Pelodiscus sinensis: one gene and its partner. The protein of the gene in region 1 purifies or fractionates together with the protein of each later gene. This does not show direct contact. Links are inferred from orthologs where the notes say so. Each region holds a gene or a part of one and is shown in the gene's direction. Other genes may lie near its edges.

What was found. The genes of interacting proteins can lie anywhere in the genome.
Region 2: the proteins of GOLGA7 (region 1) and ZDHHC5 purify together in Homo sapiens (co-immunoprecipitation; 3 studies listed by BioGRID and IntAct, with this or other methods). This does not show direct contact. The link is inferred for Pelodiscus sinensis from reciprocal best matches to the Homo sapiens genes GOLGA7 and ZDHHC5.

The regions. Positions count from the first base shown.
Region 1 is NC_134738.1:16,480,544-16,491,295, forward strand, and holds the start of GOLGA7 (golgin subfamily A member 7), read left to right. Parts: upstream 1-6,244; 5' UTR 6,245-6,260; coding exon 6,261-6,397; intron 6,398-6,805; coding exon 6,806-6,938; intron 6,939-8,174; coding exon 8,175-8,327; intron 8,328-10,752. UniProt on the Homo sapiens protein: May be involved in protein transport from Golgi to cell surface. The ZDHHC9-GOLGA7 complex is a palmitoyltransferase specific for HRAS and NRAS.
Region 2 is NC_134714.1:128,556,712-128,567,957, forward strand, and holds the start of ZDHHC5 (palmitoyltransferase ZDHHC5), read left to right. Parts: upstream 1-6,576; 5' UTR 6,577-6,889; intron 6,890-11,246. Other genes in the region: polyribonucleotide 5'-hydroxyl-kinase Clp1, read left to right, coding at 1,853-2,524. UniProt on the Homo sapiens protein: Palmitoyltransferase that catalyzes the addition of palmitate onto various protein substrates such as CTNND2, CD36, GSDMD, NLRP3, NOD1, NOD2, STAT3 and S1PR1 thus plays a role in various biological processes including cell adhesion, inflammation, fatty acid uptake, bacterial sensing or cardiac functions.

The DNA.
Region 1 (10,752 bases):
AGAAAAAAATAGTTATTTCCACTCCATCCTATATGATGAAGTGGGTTTTAAATACAAAAGCTCATGACACTATATATATTTGTTAGTCTCTAAGGTGTCGCAGGGCTATTCGTTGCTTTTAGAGACATCTACGACAGTGACAGGTACATCTCCTCCTTAGGCCTAAGGGTACATCTAGACTACATGCCTCTGTAGCCAGAGGCATGTAGATTAGGCTACCAGACATAGTAAAATGAAGCGGCGATTTAAATAATCACCGCTTCATTTAAATTTACATGGCTGCCACGCTGAGCCGACAAACAGCTGATCAGCTATTTGTCGGCTCAGCGCGATAGTCTGGACGCGCGGGTGGCAACATCAAAGGTATTTGTTGACCACCCAGGTATACCTCATCCCAGGAGGCATACCTGGGTGGTCGACAAATACCTTTGATGTCGACACCTGCGTGTCCAGACTATCGCGCTGAGCCGACAAACTGATGATCAGCTGTTTGTCGGCTCAGCGCGGCAGCCATGTAAATTTAAATGAAGCGGCGATTATTTAAATCGCTGCTTCATTTTACTATGTCTGGTAGCCTAATCTACATGCCTCTGGCGACAGAGGCATGTAGTCTAGACGTACCCTAAGAGTTAGAAGCATGAGGGGTTTCAACTCATTTTTTTTTTAGCCTTAACTATTACATCTCTGGATATTCATATTCTTCTTAGACATGTCCAATCACTGTTTGAAGCTTGCTGTCTTGGCCTCTCTTTACTCTCCAGCAGTTCCTCTGAGCCCAGGAAGACGATCTGTGGCATTAGAAGGCATCTGACACAGGAGGTCTTGCAAAACAAAATATATAGTTGAGACACTATAGCTATGTCTACTCTCGCGGCTTCTTGCGTGAGTAATATGCAAATGAGGCTAAGCGTGGAATATTGCCGAGCCTCATTTGCATACTTAATGAGCCACCATTTTTTTCAGAAGAGGCTCTTGCGCAAGAAGGAGCGTCTACACTGCCCTATTACTTGACAGGAAGAACGGCATTGCGCAAGAGGGTTTTTCTTGTGCAAGAAGGGGCAGTGTAGACGCTCCTTCTTGTGCAAGAGGCCTCTTCTGAAAAAAATGGTGGCTCACTAGGTATGCAAATGAGGCTCGGCGATATTCCATGCTTAGCCTGATTTGCATACTACTCGTGCAAGAAGCCGCAAGTGTAGACATAGCCTATTTGTTTATGGGTTTTATTCACCACCAGGACGGGTCTAGGCTCTTGGGTCATATGGTAAGTTTCTTGAACTCACTCGCTAAAGTTGGACGAACTATTTCTGCAAAACACAATTGTTTTCTTCCTGACTACTAGAGCTTGTGGAACCTAGGGATGTAAAAGGTTAGCCAATTAACAAGCCCAAACACTTCCCAAATTCTCTTTCTATTCATACCTGTATTATATAACCACAGAAATACAGCCACCTCTGGGTAAAAGGGTGACAGCCAGGGCAAAAATTGCACAGCAATGTGGAGATGGGACTTCATGGCCATATACACTGTGACCAATCTCTATCAACTTTCTTAGCCAAAGTGTCCACAAAAAGCAGGATGGAGTTCAATATATCAAATATAAAGAGCTTTCACGGGGCATTTATGAACGAGTAGTCCTGTGGCATCTTAGGTTATGTCTACACTGCATTCCTCTTTCAAGAGAGGAATGCAAATGCAGCTGAGCGAACTTGCAAATGAAGCGCAGATTTGAATTTCCATCGCTTCATTTGCATAATTGCGTCCTGGCGCTATTTTGAAATACCCTGTTTTGAAAAAAGAAACACAGACTAGACGTGGTAATTTCAAAAGAAAACCCTTCTTTCGAAATTACGCTTACTCCTTATAAAATGAGGTTTAAGGGTAATTTCGAAAGAAGGGTTTTCTTTCGAAATAACCATGTCTAGACTGCATTTCTTTTTTCAAAATAGGGTATTTCGAAATAGCATCTGGACGCGATTATGCAAATGAAGCATGGAAAATTAAAATCCCTGTTTCATTTGCAATTTCATTCACCTGCATTTGCATTTCTCTCTCGAAAGAGGAATACAGTGTAGACATACCCTTAGAGACTAACAAAAAAATATATAGTATTATGAGCTTTCAAGAGCAAAACTCACTTCCTGAAGAAATGGGTTTTGCCCACAAAAGCTCATGATACTATATGTATTTTGTTAGTCTCTAAAGTGACACAGGACTACTCATTCTTTTTAAAGTTACAGATTAATATGGCTACCACTCTGAGACATAGAGCATTTATGGTTCACTTTCATCTGAATTCCATTGACATTTCAAACATCAAGATTTCCTGTGTTTGCTTCTTACTTTAGAAGCAACATGAGAAGGTTTAAGGGAATGCAAGATGTGCATTTTCTGTTGGATAACAGTGTTTCTTGGCCTATGACCAATCAGAATAGTTTTTTTAAAAGAGTTAGGAACTTAAAATTGTCAATTTTTTTCCAGATGATCCACTCCTGTTCTCCACTACTACTGCAGCTAAATGTGCACTCTTCACATTCTGCTTATTATTAAAGAATGTGAATTTCTCATATCACCTTTCATCCTCAGAAATCATTTCAGCCCAAAGCCCAAAGGCAGCACATTTATTATTTATTACACTTACCAACATGGCATCTAGGCACACAACATTGTGCATTGAACAAGTAATGTGTTTTAGTAGGAGCTGTTGAGTAGAAGCTGTTGAGTAGGATAGCCATGTCTCTAGGTGCATTTCTAATAACTTTTAGTACAAGGAATATTCTTTGCAACTTTCTAGTTCAGGGCTACTCAACACGCAGCCCATAGGCCGTATGTGGCCCGCCACCCGTTTGTTTGCATCCCACGGTGCAATTTGGGTTTACACTGGACTCAACACGTGGCCTAACAAAAAAGTAGTCAATATAATGGTCTTCTGTTATGTGTTTTAGTAGTTTAATTCCTGGACTGCCATTGCTCATTAGAAGTGCTGTCATATGGGTGGAAATCGGGTAAATATTGCATTTTATTAATATCAGCAGAACTGATTTAAATGAGGCCTGCGTGTTGTGTATTCTTGCCTTAATCTTTATATTCATGGCTGTCAGCGTGAAAGAAGCTATATCTATTTGCATGTCTATGCAACCACACTTACGTTGCGGCCCTCGGTATGTGCTGTGAGTATCATTGTAGCCCCCAGAGCTTCCAAAGTTGAGTAGCCCTGCTCTGGTTAAATGTCTGTGCATGAGCACTTTTTTCATGGACAGGATTTTGTTGCAGTTGTTCAATTTGTCTTAGCCATGACCAAAAGGTCATAATTCAGAATTAAAAAGGTACAAGAAAGCAGTTAAGTATCAGAAAAATAGGACACGAGTCAAGCTCTGTTCTGCCCGAGCCGCTAAACCATCTTTCTGCTGAAGTGCAAATGTGTATTTTTTCTGAACATAGTATTTTAATGCCAGAGAACAGATGTTGTAATATCAGGCATGCTAAAGATGGTATTTTCAGTGCCATGAGGGTACTTCAAGCAGTAAGAGTGTCTGAAGCTAGGGTTGATTTAGAGCAAGGGATAGGAATATAATCAGTAGAGATTATGATGATATTTACAGTGCAGATCAGTGTGTGGCTACAAACTGGAAATGAAAGAACCACACAAGCATAGGGTTCTCATGCATGATGGACTTGAAAGTAGGGAAGATAGAAATAGTGTAACTGAATAGTCGTGTAACCGCATTACATTTTAGTGGTTACACAACTATTCGATAGTCCCAGAGGTGGGGCCGGCTGCACTGTATTAGAGGCAGCCGTGCTGGATGGCAGGCAGGAGTTGGTCTGCAAAGGGAACCAGTTTAAAAACCAGCTCCCCGCGCAGACCAGCCCCCACCTGCAACCTCATGCTGCTGCCTCTGATACAGAAGCAACAGCATGAGGTGGCCCAGCCCGTCCATGGGGGGGCCTGAGCTCCCCGCAGACAGAGGCGCTGCTCCAGCATCCCCCAGAGCAGCCTCTGTAGACAGCAACCCTGGGCACATGGCGGACAGAGGCTCCTGTGAAGCAGCAGCGCCTGTCCACGGGGGGTCCAAACTCCCCTCAGACAGAGGCCTCTCCAGCACAGCCCCTAGTTCTGCCCCAACCCTGCTCCAACTCCATGCCTTCCACCAAAGCTCCAACCCCATCCTGCCTCTTCCCACCCCTGCTCCACCCCCACCCTGACTCTTCCTGCCCAGTTCTGTCCCTTTCCTCCAGCGCGCTGCTTCTTCGTTCCCTTCACCCAGCCTCCAAATGCTGCAAATAACTGATCACAGCAGGCGGGAGGTGTGGGGAGGGAGAGGGAAGCACTGATCCCCTCCCACTGTCAGGCAGGCTACGCTGGGGGATGGGGAGAGCTGATAGGTGGCTGTCAATAGGTGGTCAGCACCCACCAATGCTTCTTCATGGGTGCTCCAGCCCTGGAGCACATATGGCTCCTAGTCCCTTTAGTCCATATCAAAAACACAGTGTTTGAAATGCTCATAAGTTTATTACAAATCTCACAACATTTGATGATTTAAATTCCCAGCTCCTAGCGTTACATAATTATGGGAGAGCCTCCACTTTCATTGAAAAAATAGTATCCAGATCTTATGGTTGCAGAGAAAAGTGAAAAAATGTGACTCTACAGACTCAAAAAGGCCCCATTCCACCCCTTCCCCAATGCCCTGCCTCCAATCTGCTCCCTTTTCACCCCCATTGCACAAAGCTCTCTCCCCCAAGTAATGCAAGCATGTTCTCATACAATTTTAACCAATAACTAATCCATGACAGTACCTTCCCTCTTTTCCAATGATTACTTACTTTGCTTAAGAGCCTTTGGCAAGAGACCTCGTCAATGGTTCTCTGAAAATCCAAGTACAAACTATATCCACTGATTCTCACTTGTCCATGACTGCTAATCCCTCAAAGAATTTTAACCGATTGGTGAGACATGATTTCCCTTTACAAAAGCCATGTTGACTCTTCCGCAACAAATTGTATTAATCTACGTGTAGGATCATTCTCCTTATCACTTTTGATATCCTTCTCCGCACTTTTTCCAGTTCTAATATATATATATATTAGATGGGGCGACCGGCATGTTCTCACAGAATTAGGCAGTGTCATTATGATATTTACTATTGTTTCACTATAGTTTCAACCAATTTTCTCCAAGCTGAGGTTTAAGCTTACCAGCCTGTAATTGCCAGTATCACATCTAAAGCCTTTGTTAAAAATCAGTCACAATCAATGACAATAAAACAGTAAGAAATTAAATATTATGATCAAATATGATTCTTTCACACTGTTGTGAACTGCGGCCTCTGTTTCCACTGCACTTTGAAAAAAAAGAGTACTAAATTTCTGAATGCTTACTAAATTTCTTGCCAGAGCAAAAATAGAATTTGATCAAAATCAGAGGAGGGAATGGAGACATCCAGCTAAATACCACAATATCAGTCTGCATTCACCTTTCAAATGACTCTCAGGTAAGGTAGTGCTAGAGATGCAGCCAAGACAGGACCATGCAGCACTTTAACGACTAACAAGACGGTTATTAGGCGATGAGCTTTCGTGGGCTCTGAGGAAGTGGGTCTGGCCCACGAAAGCTCCTCACCTAATAACCATCTTGTTAGTCTTTAAAGTGCTGCATGGTCCTGCCTTTTGTCTGGGTAAGGGGCACTGCCACGGAACGAGCCATGGGAAGAGCGAGCCAGCAGAGACCGTGCCACTGGGCTGTGCACAGATGGGAAAGGCCATGCCACAGACTGTGCCATGGGGGGGGGGGCTGAACCACTGACCATGCAATGGGGGGGGCCACGCCACAGGACAGGGGGACTGTACCACTAACTTTGCTGTGGGAGGCCATGCCACAGAGATGGTACCATTGATCATGCCGCGGGGGGGGGAAGGGCTGTACCAGGAGGAGGGGCCGTAGCACAGAAAAGGGGGGGCACAGCACAGACCGGGGTGTGGCACAGGGAGGGAGACCACACCACAGACCGTGCCGTGGGGGGGCTCTGCCACGAGGCGGCAGTACCACAGACCGGGCCGTACCTCTGACCGTGCCATGACAAGGAGCTCTGCTGCCGCGTGAGCCCTGAGGCGCCAAACGGGCCCTGCGGGCCTCGTCAGCACGAAGACCCCCCGCCCCTGAGCAGAATAGCGCATGTGCAGAATCTTTTCCCGGCGCAGAAACTGACGCACGCGCACAATAGGCCAACGTACTCGCCTGTCGCGCGACCTGGCAGCAGCGCATGCGCATGACTCCTCTAAGTGGCTTCGCTGCTCACTTACGGCTTTCAGCGAAACTGGGGTGGTGCTTTTACGGCAGTCGTAAGGGAGGGAGCTCGACGGCCGCTGAAGCGGAGGGAGCAGGGGCCTGGCTTTGTCTGTAAGGGTGGGGGCCGGGAAGCGCCTCAGGAAGGGCGTTGAAGCCGGGGGCGGGAGTGCGTGGGCGGGGATGTCCGGCCCGGGGGGTTGGGGCGGGGTGGGCTGGATCCTGGCGGTGGGGCGGAGGCTGGGACGGGGGGGAGTGTGGGTGAAATGTGGGGGGGGGAGTTTGGGATGGGGTGGGTCCGTGGGCGTGGGGAGTTCTGGGGGTGGGGGGAGTTGGTGTCTCGGGCGGGCTGTGGGGATGGGACCCCAGAGTGAGCCCTGGGCCAGGGCCAAGCTGTGACAGTCTAACAGCTGCCTTGAAGCTATGGAGGGGCTTCAGGTGTGGGGGCAGTTTGGTGTATTTCTGAGCTGTAGGGTGCTTCTGGTGACCATGTAATGCATTCGACTCTGTTTCTTCTCCTAGAACAGCCAGTTCTACCTGTGCGATGCGGCCGCAGCAGGCACCTGTTTCTGGTAAAGTGTTTGTCCAGAGAGACTACAGTAGCGGCACCAGGTGCCAGTTCCAGACCAAGTTTCCCCCAGAGTTAGAAAACAGGGTAAAAGCTTTGTTTTAATTTATCTGGGATTGTATGAATGATTGAATTAGGAATGATTGAAGTCCTGAGCTAGCTGCACATGGCTGACCTGAGAGCTTACCTGCTGTGTACCTGAGATTTGTGGTCTTTAGCACGCAAAGGAACATAACTTTTTTTTTAAAGCACATCAAAGGCATGTTTATTTTTTATAAAGAAGTGAAAATGTGGTTCATTTGTATAAATTCTGACTTATCTGCTCCTCTCTTTTGTTATTGACCATGTTTAGAAGTCATTTGTTTTTTATGCTCTCTGTAATCCTGAGGAAAGGTGTCCCTTTTAACTGTATCATCAATTACATCTCTTATGTCAGTGAAAAAGTATGTATTCTCTACCACAGTCCTGTCTGATGGTGAGAGGACTCTTTTGTTGAACTTGCATTTACATGGCTTTACAAGTGCTTCCTTTCATTGTGTTGCTGGCAATTGTGATATTTTATTAAGCTAGAAAGAAAATGCTTCTTGCCAGTTGTGCTTGTCTTCTATGGCTAGTAAATGTCACTTCTGGGGCTTTTTGCTTCTTGCCTGTCCTGTATGGAACACTAATCACCTTAGCTTTCCTTGTTAATGTTATTAGTGATCAACTCTGTCATAATAATGCAAAATAGTCAAGGCCTTAGTCAGAGCATATGAGGTTTAGTTTAACCCATGTCCCCTGCGAATAATTTATTTTTGAAATCTAGAGGACCTCACCCTCCAGATTAGGAATGTAAAAACTCGTTTAAAAACATAACCATGTAACAGCTAAAAATCCTAGTGGTTACACCAGTGGCATGCATTGCAGAATCTCCCAAGAAGCCTGTGTGTAACTCTAACCAAAACCAATAAGATGAAGTTTGTAGGCTAATCATTTAAATGGTTACACTTTTGTATCCCTACTCCAGGTCAACAGTTTCCAAGTAGGTTGTACTTTGAATCTAATACTGTACACACAACACAGCTTAAATAAGGGCTGTAAATGTGTAATATGGGAATACACATTTGATCTAGTAACTTTAAATCACTTAGCATTGGGTTAAATAGCAGCTATGATACACAGAGGTCCTTCTGTACCAGAACACAACCTTGGTTCTCCATGTTGTGCTTGAAGCTAATTGGATGTAGGTGATACACTGGTGATTAAGAATGTTCTACACAGAAGGTACATCTTTGCTTTAGGGATTGAGTTCTGACTAAGCAATTTACTGTCAATCTTTTGCAGATCGATAGGCAGCAGTTTGAAGAGACAGTTCAAACTCTAAATAACCTTTATGCAGAAGCTGAGAAGCTTGGGGGTCAATCTTATCTTGAAGGATGTTTGGCCTGTCTGACTGCTTACACTATCTTTTTGTGCATGGAGACACATTATGAAAAGGTGAGCCTGTTACCTTTCATGCAATTAACTTAAAGCAAATGAAAATCACAATGTTGGATCATAACTTTTTATGTACATCAGCAGAGGTGCTTTAGCTTCTAACTTTATTTCTAAGGTTTTCTCTTATGACAGCCTCGTTCATTACTATAGTACAAATACAGAATAAGCTTTCACCTGCTAGCCTAGCTTCCTGAAAATACTGGGACATATCAGTGAGAGCACAGACTCAGCTACCTGAGAATTATAAGCATATATTTGAAATAAATGCCAGCTTCAGTCACTGGTTGGAGAGTAACAAAGAAATATGTCATTTTCCAGATGCGGGAAGTGATCACCTGCTGCTAGGGTAAACTATACATAACCATAGAAAAATAGTGTGCCGTTTTAGTCAAAGAATTAATTAGTTGAAAAATATATCTTTGACTAATCAGTCATATAGTGTCAAGTTGGTAGGACTGTTTCTAAATCCAATTATGTTTCATTTTTAAAATCCATTAGGCAATCACTAAACTGGCGAGTTTTACACCAAATTTTCAGCAATTTAATCCCATAGAGATTAATAATCAAGAGAGTTGCTTCACAGCTCTGTAGCTCAAGAAAGATTCCTGATTCCCTACTAAATACTAGTCCCTGTGTTCCATTTGCTTCCACAAATCCTCAGGAGTTCAGGCTGCTCTTAGCCTACCTTTCAGCATCTTCTGCTGCATCTTACCCTACCTTTCAGCATCTTCTGCTGCATCTTACCATTTTACTGCTTGTCTTCTTTATGTTTGGGTTTAGGTGAGATGTTAAGCTAGAGAATGGTGGGCTATAACTACTCCAAATCTACCTCTCGCACATATCTATACAGTACCCTCTATTTGAGACTTTTCCAAGCTCCAGGTAAGCATTCACTAAGGGAACAATCTAACACCCATGCAAATATTTCCAAATAAAACCCAGTTTCTTCATGAGCATCAGATTAGTCCATTTGCCCTTCTTGTGAAATCAATATTATGCCCATTATTTAGGTCAAATCAAGTATAGGTTTGTCTCATGCAGAACTGCTGATTTCCAGTCTTTTGGTGAACCACGAGATCATTCTAAAATTATAAAAATGTTGTTCTGATAGTTTCTCTTTAAAAATGAAGAGCTTCATTTTTAAACACCATGACATACTAGCTTGAAGAGCTAGAAGTCATACATACTTGTCACACCTCCATGTGTACACACTTACATATGTAGTCTGTATTTAATACTGTCAGTTCTTCTTTATTTTGTGCTCTTTGGCTACGTCTACACTGGCATGATTTTCCGAAAACACTTTTAACGGAAAACTTTTCCGTTAAAAGCATTTTCGGAAAAGCACATCTAGATTGGCAGGATGCTTTTCCGCAAAAGCACTTTTTGCGGAAAAGCGTCCGTGGCCAATCTAGACGCGGTTTTCCGCAAAAAAGCCCCAATTGCCATTTTCGCGATCGGGGCTTTTTTGCAGAAAACTACTGTACTGTCTACACTGGCCCTTTTGCGCAAAAGTCTTTCGGAAAAAGACTTTTGCCCGAACGGGAGCAGCATAGTATTTCCGGAAAAGCACTGACGATCTTACATGAGATCGTCAGTGCTTTTCCGGAAATTCAAGCGGCCAGTGTAGACAGCTGGCAAGTTTTTCCACAAAAGCAGATGATTTTGCAGAAAAACTTGCCAGTCTAGACACAGCCTTTGTGTTTACAAAGCCAATGAGTAGATAGCCAAGTCAATATGTGAATACATTCATCATTCCTTTGGATTAAATGAGTGTAAAGAAGTCTGATTTAATATTACTGACTTGAAATAAAAACATGTTTCAAACAATTCTGCTCAAGATTACTGCTGTAATTATATATTAACAGAACCCTTTATCATCCCTTCTGAGCAGGGTGATAAATAGTGCTGGTTTGCAGTATTTTATTTAGCTAGATATCTTTGGCTCACCTTATGTAAGAAGAGTGATTTTTTTTTCTTTTTTTTTTTTTTTTGAAGATTGGGCTGACACCAGCTGAAATGTCTTTTTATAACTGAACTAGATAGAGTAGGGATGGCAAGGCAGATAACTTCAAATCTCCTTGGAAAATGCAGCATTTATGGTCATGCTAATGAGAACAGTTCAAAGAGATGATTAATTCTTATGACTCACTCTTTCTTGACTTGTGACTTATTGCACTATACTCTGTAACTTGTTTGAATATCTAGTTATTTTTATAAATAATTTGACACTCTCAAGATAAGGTAGATTTCCATAATGTAATCATCTTGTCATTTTCTTTAATCAGAATAGCATTCTAAATACATAATATTGCAGCTAAAACCTCGCCAGAAAGCTCATCCATCAAAACTTAAATTTGATTAAACTGAACTGGTGTGTCTCTTGTAGTAACCCTTTAGTAGATTTATAGATGGCTGCATTTCA
Region 2 (11,246 bases), on another chromosome or scaffold:
CGGAGGACGGGGGCGGTGGGACCGCCAAGATGCGCCGCGGTCCCGCCTCCTGCGTCCTCTGCGGCGAGAAAAGTCTGGTCTGTTGGGGAGGGGTGGGGCGCAGCTAGTGCGCCCCCCCTCCCCCCCCAGCAGACCAGGGAGACGCGGGCGGCGGGACCGCTGAGACGCGCCGCAGTCCCGCCGCCCGCGTCCTCCACGGCTTTGCTCTGCGTCTCCCTGGTCTGCTGGGGGGGACCCCCCAGCAGACCAGGGAGACGCGGAGCGGCTTTTCTCACCACGGAGGATGCGGGCGGCGGGACCGCCCAGATGCGCCACGGTCCCGCCACCCGTGTCTTCCGCGGCTTTGCCCTGCGTCTCCCTGGTCTGCTGGGGGATGCCCCCCAGCAGGCCAGGGAGACGCGGAGCAGCTTTTCTCGCCGCGGAGGACGCGGGCGGTGGGACCATGGTACGTCTGGGCGGTCCCGCCGCCCACGTCCTCCGCGGCGAGAAAAGCCCCGTTCGTAAGTAGGGATCCGACGTAAATCGGATCCACGTAACCCGGGGACTGCCTGTATCATTTATCTTCAATTTTAGTCGGCAGGGTGTTAGATCTCCAATCTGATTAGTTTTCTACAAAACAAATAAATGCCCTGGTGCTTAGTAGTTGGTCCTGAATAGGGATGTATTTAACGTTTAACATATTAACTGGTTAAACACTAAGTCTAATTGGTCAAACCTGGAGCAGCCCCCTGTCCATGATGGGTTGCGGCTGAGACGGAGCCAGAAAATGGAGGCAGCTCTGGCTCCACTGCATGCTCCAGTCCTGGCTGCAGGTTGGGAGAGAGAGGTGACCTCTGGCCGAGTCTACTGTGGCCACAAGCAGGATCCAGCTGGCCAGGCCAGTTAACCAGTTACCTTGAAAGCACGCTGTCTTACTTCAGAGACTGGGCCAGCCAAACTCTGCTCTCAGGTTCGGAGGGTAACCAAGAAGACACAAATAGCTTAATGCATATAAATGCAAGATTTATTAGATATTGCAGGTGATATAAAAAGAAAAGGCAAGAGAAGGCTGACAACATCCCTTTGGCTTGCTGGGGACTCTGACTCAGCAAAGGATGGACTCCTGGGCCAGGTCAGAAGACACCTGTACAGTTCCAGGTCCTTCGGGAAGTCCAAAGGGCGTTGGCAACATTAAACAATATATAGCCTGTACACAAAATTCTAGAATCAGCCACTAACTACATACAGAGGAAAAAAAACCCCAAAACAAACACCTGCCTGCTTGAGAAGATTCCCGAAGGCAGGCTTGTTTACCTGGAAGCTTATCTCAACTATGCAATGAGCTCAGCCATGCCAGACAGGGCCTATCTCTAACGAGCTAGCTAGCTGGGAATTTCCCTTGCTAACAGCAGTCCAAAGCCTGTTTTCTAGTTTGCAGACATGAGAACTGGAAAGATACACTAACTCCTCGAAATACAATGATCTTCCGGTTTTCCAACCACAACACACACTGACAAGCCACCTGCTTACTGGGTAACTAGTTAACCTCTTATATCCCTAGTCCTGAGTAACTAAACATCATATAGTTATTTATAGAGTGTATCTCGTATTAAGCTATGCTCTGCCGTGTTGAACTTGCTATGTCTAGGTATCTAAAATGAGGTGCTTGAATGGAAAGACGTTTGTGTGGGTATCTCCTCTACTGAGTTGAATAGCTACTCCAGGGCAATTTATATGTGATAAGTCCACCATCTAGTGGTAGCAGGCTGTGAAAAATACAGGCCACACCTTGAGAAAGGAAAAGACTGCGGGTGGAGCCCTTCCTGCACATCTTTCTTGGGTTCTAATTAGCTATGCTGCTTCCTCTCTGCAGATCACATCTCGCTTGGCTGACGTTTTTAACCAGCGCTGCGAAGTGAACCGTCGGGCTTCAGTCAGTGGCTGTGTCATCAACACGTGCGGCTGGGTGAAGGGCTCTGGGTATCAGGCCCTGGTGCATGCAGCCTCAGCCTTTGAGGTGGATGTGGTGGTAGTGCTGGACCAGGAACGCCTGTACAATGAGCTGAAGCGGGACCTGCCCCATTTTGTGCGCACGGTGTTGCTCCCCAAGTCAGGTGGGGTGGTGGAGCGTTCAAAGGACTTCCGGCGGGAATGCCGGGATGATCGCATCCGTGAGTACTTCTATGGCTTCCGTGGCTGCTTCTACCCCCACGCCTTCGATGTCAAATTCTCTGATGTCAAGATCTACAAGGTGGGGGCGCCCACCATCCCTGACTCATGCCTGCCTCTGGGCATGTCACAGGAGGACAATCAACTCAAGCTTGTGCCAGTGACACCAGGCCGTGACATGGTGCACCACTTGTTGAGTGTCAGCACTGCTGATGGCAGTGAGGAGAACATCTCTGAGACCAGTGTGGCTGGGTTCATTGTTGTCACTGGGGTGGACGTAGATCGCCAGGTCTTCACGGTGCTGGCACCGGCACCTCGTCCACTGCCCAAGAACTTCCTGCTGATCATGGACATCCGCTTCATGGACCTTAAGTAGGGGCTGCACTGGAGCAGAAGAGGTGTACTCCAGCATCTTAGAGCATCTTCATTGTGGACAGTATTTTTACCAAATGAAGGGGGTGGTGACTGCCACATAGACTAAACCATTTGAAACCAGCGTGAGAAGGGATAGAGGCTGCTGTGCAGAACAAACCATTGGGACAAACCAGAGTCGGTCAGATGAGGAAGTTTGTGGATTAACTTGTAGATGGAAGCAGGGAGGAAATAGGAGATTAAATGTAGCTGTACGTGATTCACTGCCTACCTCCCTTCTCTAGGTTCCCTTCCCTGCCTTAGATTTCAGCCCCTGAAATCTGGACCTGTTGTCGCTTTTGCACAGCCCACGCTTCATGGGGCTTCTCTTTATAGGAGATGATCAATATTCTTTTATATTTTTCTAATGTTAATAAATTTCCTGGCCTTTTGTTGTTTTTTGGTGACTGGATTAATTTTGTGTAACCTCTTGCAGTGTGAGAGAGCTCTGTAGTGCATGCACACAAGATGCACTGCTTGGGGCTTGGAGAGGGGAATTTTGATGTAAGGAATGAAATAGGGCCACACAAAGTAGGCTGGAGCATTTGAGCAAAATGTGGATCATCCCAGGAGCTAGGTTACGAGGAACTAACAATTTCATTTTCTAGGCCCTTCACCTCACCTCCACTATGGAGATGTCTGTCCTGACTTACTGCCAGCTTGGATCACCCATTTCCAACATTCCAACAAAGAGCTCCCCATTACCCTTATCTATCAAATGAATTCCCCATTAACATCCACAGTTCCTTCAACTCCCCCCTGAAAGCCTACTTGTGCTATAATGTGGACAGCACCCATAGCTGGGCAGTTGGTGTTCAGTGACTGCTCTTTGTGTTCGTTGCCTTCTCTCCCCACCCTTTTTATCAATTGTGCTCATCTGTTGTCTCATCTTATATTTGGAATAGTAGGTTCGTTCTGTGTTTCTACAACACCTAGCACCTTGGGCCCTCATCCTTGACTGGCTGCCATTGCAATAAAGTTGTACAGTGGTTTTAAATGGGTTTGGAGCCAGGAATTTGCCATTAGAATGGGAAATCATCACAAGGAACTACTGCAAGTTGGTGGAGCTTCAGGGTAAGAGGGGACAAAAGGTTTACAAATGGAAAAGGTAGGAAGAATGCTGCAGGTTCTACAGCAGGAGAGAAGACGGGACATGCTGGGAAAGACTATAGAATAGAAGAAAAAGAGTGGATTTTGGGTTGAGGAATATGAGTTGTCCTAACCCCTCTAGCCAGGAGAGGGCACTGTTGATTAACCCCTTCTAGTGACTTCTTGGATCACAAGGCAATAGTGCTGGCTATATGATTCGATTATAAAAGATGGTGAATTGGGCAGAAGGGCCATATCCAAATTCCCCAGTGTAATTAGTGCACTGTAATCTGAGGTAATTCACGTTTTCACCTGTTCTAAGGATCAAAAACTTCATAAGTCGCACGTCAGGACCTGTTGCTTAGGCAGAAGCACTTCCCACTTACCAGAGATGTGCAGACCTTGTGTAACTTCCTGGCTGTGCTTTGGGCTTTGAGAGTGTGGGGGAGGGGAGAAATAAAGCCAGTCATGCCATGCAGCTGTTGCAAGAAGGATTCATGGTTGAGGTATGTATGCTGCTGCAAAGAGAAACCAGTGCTATACCTCTGCATGATGAAATGTCAATCAGCTGTTTTCCTTGTTCTTTCCCCTTTTATGACTGAGTTTTTCCAGCTTAGGTGGTAGAACTGCAGTTTTTGAGCAGGAGCTGGCCTTATCTGTGCGGAGCCTCATATCAGGTTCAATTCCTGGCTTTGCTGCAGATTACCTGTGTGACCTGAGGCAAGTAATGTCACATCTCTAGGCCACATTAACGCTCTGTAAAAAGAGGATAATAATCCTCCCTTTGTCTTTTATCCATTTAAAGGTGGCTATTTTGGAGCAAAGACTATCTCTTACTTCGTGTTTGTGTAGTACCCAGCATTGGGAGGCCCTGGTCTTACTTGGGTTTTCTAGGTGCTATTATGATATAATTTAAAATTGAAGCCCTCGTGATTACTTATTCAGGCTGTTGTAAGTGGAACCATTGCTATCCTCCTCTGTCATGATATAGATCTAGGTGTTTGAGTTCTCATAACTCCGGTCATCTGAAGAAGTGGACTGTGCGCACAAAAGCTCATGATACCATCTACATGTTTTGTTAGTCTATAAAGTGCTACCAGACCATTTGTTGTTTTTTCTATAACAGACTAACTCGGCTACCTCCTGAAGCTCCTTTAACTTTCTCGTCAGGGATGTACATTTAGGGTTGCCAGATGGTTTCAACAAAAATACTGGAAACACTTAACATTACATCACAATCAATATTATATCTTATTTAGAAAATACCGGACATTTATATTTTCTCAATTTGTTTCCTGAACAGAAAGCTCAAATACTTGACTGTCCAGTTCAAAACCGGACACCTGGCAACCCTAGATGTAATTTCCTCCCTTTCCCACCCCCAGCACAGCAAGTTACAGTGCTGAGAAGCAACTGTGTGCACAGGCTTCCAGGGCTGTAAGGTAATCTCTTCATGGAGGGAATTTACTTAGAACTCTCTCAGTGCTGCTGTTGTGACCACACTCATTAAAGTGCTCATCCAATGGGGCCCTGCATCTTAGTCTGCTTTTCCTCCCTTTGGAGGGAGAAATTCCTTTTTAAACCACGGTAGTCTTTTGATCTCTGCTGTGTGCTGGCGTTGTCTTGCCATGCCATTGTCTCTTAACAAACATCAGCTGCTTATAGCTTAAGCTTTTCCTTCCTCATTTTTGCTTACAGGACACCTGAGTGGCTTGGCATCCTGCTTGCAATATAACCCTGGTGCCAGGATGTAATGGAGTGGGGATTGTGTTCACTCTGTTTACTTTGTTGTGCTGAAAGTGATTCCTATTGTACTGTTCTGTTGTAACCCTGTGTGTGCCTCAGTTTCCCTGGGTACTGCATTGGTGTCTGGCTGGGGATAGGAATGTTGGATTGGCTGTCACTGAAGGGAGGCTACCCCAGGCGGTCCCATCTTAGCAGTACACAACAATAGCTCAGGCTGTCCTATAACCTGAGCCTGGGTGGGTAGAGCAACCAGCTGACACCTTGCTCAGGAACCTGAACAAAGGAGGGGGCAGAGCCGCCTCCAGGCTGGGGGATGAGGTGGGGCGTATATGAGTTCTCTGCTGGTGGAGGATGCAGGGAGGGGGCCCAGGGTGCTGGCCCTGGGTCTCCCTCTGCCTAAGCTGGATTGGACTATCTGCTTCTGGTTCCTGTGTTAACAAGTTTGTGCTATGCTGTGTCCCTATCAAGGAATGAAACTTTTGTTCTACTTGCTAGCTGAGAGTCAGAGCTGGCTGTGGATGGGGGTGCAAGGCCTGGAGAAACTGAGGCGCAAACACGGGGTTACAACAGAGCAGTACAGGACAGCAGGAATCACATACAGCATACCAGAGCAAACCCAATCCCCACTCGGTCACACGGGGCAGGGCGATAACCCACGCTGTGTACACGGGGCAAGGGTCACTCTCCCCAGATGCTGCGCTGGGTGGCTGTGGAGGCGGGGGGGAGGGGCTGTGCCATGAGTCACTGGCCCATGGGGGTTCACACCCACTGAAGGCTGGGTCAGGTGGTGGGCTCGTCGTGACAATGGAATGGGGGGGTGGAGTCACGCGAAGTGGGGGGTTCTGCAGTTTGTGGAGTATACTATGACGTCACAGAGAACGGTACCATGAAGTCATGGGGGGGGTGGTTATTCCCTCTCCGCTGCTTATTTAAATTGTTTTCAATAAGGCACCTCCCCCAAATATCAACAGAACGAGACGGGGGGGGGGGGTCCATTGACGCGATCACCCGAATCCGCCACGAGCCGTGCGTAGATTCCCACGCTAGGCGGGGTTGAGCTCTGATTGGGCGGCGGGGTCATCAATCTGCTGGGCCGAGCTCGAATGTGGCGTCTGGAGCCGAGTGGGTTCTGGGAGCGGGGCTGTTCGGCGCGTGCTCAGTGAGCCGCTCCCCTGCGCCTATCCCGCCTCGATTGCGGCGCTCTGCGGCGCACGCGCGGACGGGGGTGTCCGTCTCTCTGGGCATGGGCAACGGCTCGTCTCTCTCTCGCTCCCGCCCTCCCTCACGCCGCAGCCAATCAGCGGCGGGCAGTGTTCGCACGGGCGCGCGACGCGGCGCCGGCCGAGGGGGCAGAAGGCGGAGCGCGCGGCCTGGGACTAACCGGCGAGCGCAGCGCGAGCCCGCAGGGCCTCGGGAGCGCGCTTCCTCCCTGCTGCCTGGACGCGCCTCTCACACGGGGAGCCGGGCCGGGCGGAGGGAGCCGCGGCGCCGAGCGGTGAGTGCGGGCGGGCCGGGCCCAGCTGCACGGGGCGGGGGATCGGGGCCTCGCCTGCCGCGGGGAGCCGGGGAAATAAATCGGGGGGAGGCCGGGCCCCGCCTGCGGGCCTAGCCCGCCTCGGACCCGGCCCCCACAGATCGGCCCGCGGGCCCCATCCTCCCGCGCCCCTCCCCCCCGCCCCCACACTGCCCCTGCCCTCGGGCCCCCCGCCCCCACACCGCCTCTGCTCCTCGGGGCCTCCCCGCCCCCACACTGCCCCTCCCCTCCCCACGGGCCTCTGCCCCTCGGGGCCCCCCCGCCCCCACACTGTCCCTCCCCCACGGGTCTCGTTAGTGCCCCCACACTGTCCCTCCCCTCACATCTCTCCTCCTCAGTGCACCCCCTCCCACAGGTCACTCTTCTACTGTGCACCCTGTCCCCACACAGGTCTCATCAACATCCTCCCCTTGCTCCCCCTACAGGTCTTATTAATCTCCCCTCCCCTCCCCTCCCCACATTGTCCCACCCCCCCCATGGGTTTCATCAGCAACCCCCCTACTTCTCACTGCCTCCCCTCCCCCCCCCCCAGTCTCCTTGTTAGCACCCATAGTATCCTTCCCCCACAGGTCTCTGTTTGTCATTGCCCCAGAGATCCTTTCCTCCAGCACACCCACACTGCCTCTCCCCCTACAGGTTTCTTCTATTTAGCCCCCCCCCACTGTCCCCACAGACCCATTATGCCTTCAGCATCCTTGTCCCTGTGCAGCTCCTCCTCCACAGTATTCAGAGTCCCTGACCCTTTCCTCCTTCAGTGCCCCTGCTGCCACCCATAATATGTAGAGTATCCACAGTCCCCCCACTCCTTTTTTCAGTACCCCTGCACTGCTCCTCCCCCACAGACCCCTACTTCCTTCAGTGTCTGTGTCCCTACATTACTTCCTCCCCCACATGGCCTCACTTCTAAATTTCCCTGCCCATACAGACATCTCTTTAGCATCATCTTATTTCTTCCTGTTCCTCTCCCTGCAAAGTTACCTCATACTTCCAGACACCCCTGCCTCCACACTTCTACTCCCCCATAAACACCTCCAGCATCCTTGCTCCTCATTGCTCCTCTGTTTCCAGAGAGACACCTCTCAGCAACCCAGACTTTTTTCCTGAATACTGATCCTCCCCATACTGAAGGGGTTCTCAAACTGGGGGGGTCTAACTTTGTGACATTAGGTGGGGTGCTGTGAGTAGTCAGACCCCCTATCCTAACCCTACTTTACTTCTAGCATTTAAAATGGAGTTAATGTTCTTAATTCACAAGGGGAGTGTCACACTTGGAGGCTTGCTGTGTGAAAGGAGTCACCAACACACAAGTGTGAGAACCACTGCTCTATATCAGCCTCCTCTCACCCCTAGCATCCACAGATACCTCTTTGCTCAGCACCCCCTTGCCGCCCCAAGAGAGATCCCTTCAACACCCACAGACCCCTGCCCACATAACTCCTCCCTCTTCAGCATCACCATTTCCCCAGGTCTCTCCACCAAATGATTCCTCTCAGCTCACCTGCCTCCCAGACATCTGGTCTCATATCAAACCTCTTCATTTCTGTGTGATCTGGAAATCCCCATATCCTTTCCCATCCCCTCTTATGTGACCCTTGTCCCACAAAGATTCTTTCCCCACTCAGAACATCCTGTTTCTGACTGTCCCCTAATGTGATCACCCCACTCACTATGACTCTTGCTGATCCCCTGTTTGATTTTTCCCTTCTGCTGTGGCACTCTGACACTTCCATAGACTCATTTATGTTAAGGGACCACCTTTCTCTCCACCCTGTAGCCCTCTCTTGTGTTTAATTCCCTGTTGCTCATGTGCAACCCTCCCTTCCCCAGTCTACCTTTAGTGTGGACTCTTGCCTGTTGAGTCTGATCCCTTATTTATTAATTTCCCTGGTTTTACATCTTTATTCTCTAGCCAGCACAACCTGTTAAATTCCCAGCTTGTCTCCTGTTGCCTCCATCCCTGGTTATATGCAGTGTTCCCTTGATGTACAAGCCCTCTTCATCTCTTCTCTCTCCTGGATTACATCTTCTCTCATGCGAGTCCTGTTTTCTGCTCTTAGAATCTCCTTTTCCCTGCTCTTAGAATCTCCTTTTCCCTGAATTAAGCTTTTCCCTGCACTAGATTACAGTATCACAGCTGCATGAAACCTGTTTTCCCTTTCTTGGTGCCCCCTGCCTTTTGCATGAAAAGAAAGGTGCTAGCCTAGGATTTGGAGACTAAGGTTTCAGTTCCCAGCTCCATCACAGATACTCTGTGCGACCTGGGCAAGTCATTGAGCCTCTCTTTGCTTCAATTTTCATAAGTAAAATGGGGATAATAGCACTTCCCTACCTCACAGATTTTATGAGCCACTCAGCTATTATGGTGATGGAGACCAGATAAGTGTCTAAAATAGACTTCTCAGATACAGCTGCCCTGTATTATATGCTCATAGACAAAGGAAAATTATCACTCATCTGCCAGAGTAACTGTCAGCTGTATCCACTTTCAGATTTCTTTACCCCACTATAGCTTCCAGTTATAGCCCTCAAAGGACCCTACAATTCACTTCATTCTAATACATTCAGGCTAATGACCCCTTTTTGTGTAAAGCTAGGATAGCAGGAGAGGGGATTCTTTTTTAAAGTTACTTATCCAGTATAGCTTGAATCTCAGATGGCTCAGGCAGGTTTTGCAAGAGCCTGTGGGGTATTGCTATACAGTAAAGTGTTTATTTTGTCAAAGATAATAATCAGTGCACCTCAGTTGTTAATATCCCATTGTGATTGAACATAGCATTCCCACATTGTGTTCAGGATGTCTCTATCTTATGCCGCACTTTGATCCATTCTGCACAATCCCCCAATCGCGCACATTTTCCAGCATGCACTATGGATATCATTAAATGGGGCTGTGAACTAACTGGCAGGCAGATTGGTTTCATGCTGCTGTTTGGTGGCATTTACAAAAAACTGAGAAGTTACTCCTCAAGGATACAATTTAGATTTTACACATAATGCCTCACTTTGAATATTGCTCCCTGTGCTTCTAATTCTAAATTATGCCCTGTTCTCAATGTCACCCCTTCCCTGCATAAATCCAAATTACACCCATGCGTTGAATATTACTGCCCTGTCTAAATCCAGATTGCCTCTCTATATATGTCTAAATTTATAGTCTCAGTGTTTATGGTTGTGACAGCGCGACAGAATGGCAGGTGAAATTCAGTGTTGATAAATGCAAAGTAATGCATTTTGGGAAACATTCCAATCATACATATGAAATGATGGAGTTTAAATTAGCTGTTAAGACACAAGAAAGAGATCTTGGAGTTATGGATAATTCTCTGAAAACATCCACTTAGCCTTTTTGACTGCTGCTGCATGTTAACAAAGTTAGGAACCAATAGGAAAGGAATAGATAATAAGACAAATATAATGCCCACTGTATAAATTAATAGTACACCCATGCTGCAGACCTAGATAGACTGGGACCAGTCAATTGAAAAGCAGATGACTGGCAGGGCAGGAAGGGGGCATGAAAGAGATCTATAAAATCATGAATGGTGTGGAGGAAGCAAGTAGGGAAATGTTTATCCCTTCACATAACACAAGAATGTTATGGGTCACCCAATGAATTAATGAGTAGCGTATTAAAAACAAACAAAAGGAAGAACGTCACACAACGCACTGTCAACTTGTGGAACTCATTGATGGGGGATACCATGAAGACCAAAACTATAACAAGGTTTAAAAAATTACATAAGATCATAGAAGAGAGGTCAGTCAATGGTTAACAACCAGGGTGGTTAAGCCTCTGACTGCCAGGTTCTTAGGTCCCTGTAAACATGTAGGACAATGTAGCACTTTAAAGACTAACAAGATGGTTTATTAGATGATGAGCTTTCGTGGGCCAGACCCACTTCCTCAGATCAAAATGAGTGCTACATTGTCCTGCATTTTGCTTCAGCTACCCCAGACTAACAGGGCTACATTTCTATCACTATGTAAACATGTAGATATTCACGGGTGTCAGCATCCTCAGCACAGATATCAGTGGCTCATTTTGCCAGATACAAATACAAACTTTGTATCCTCACAGGACTGTAGTTATTTGGTCTACATGCCTGTTCTCAGGGCTCTACAGATGTTGGAACTGGATGTTAGGGAATTGCTCCGTTAACAAGTGCCATGTTCTTTATTCCTTCTGAAGCATCTGGCATTGTTGGAAGATAATATAATAGGCAGATGAACCATTGGTCTGACTCAGTTTGGCTGTTTTTATGCAAGATAAAGGTTTTATTGGTGTGAGTTTGGAATGAGTGTTACCCATGAGGAGTTG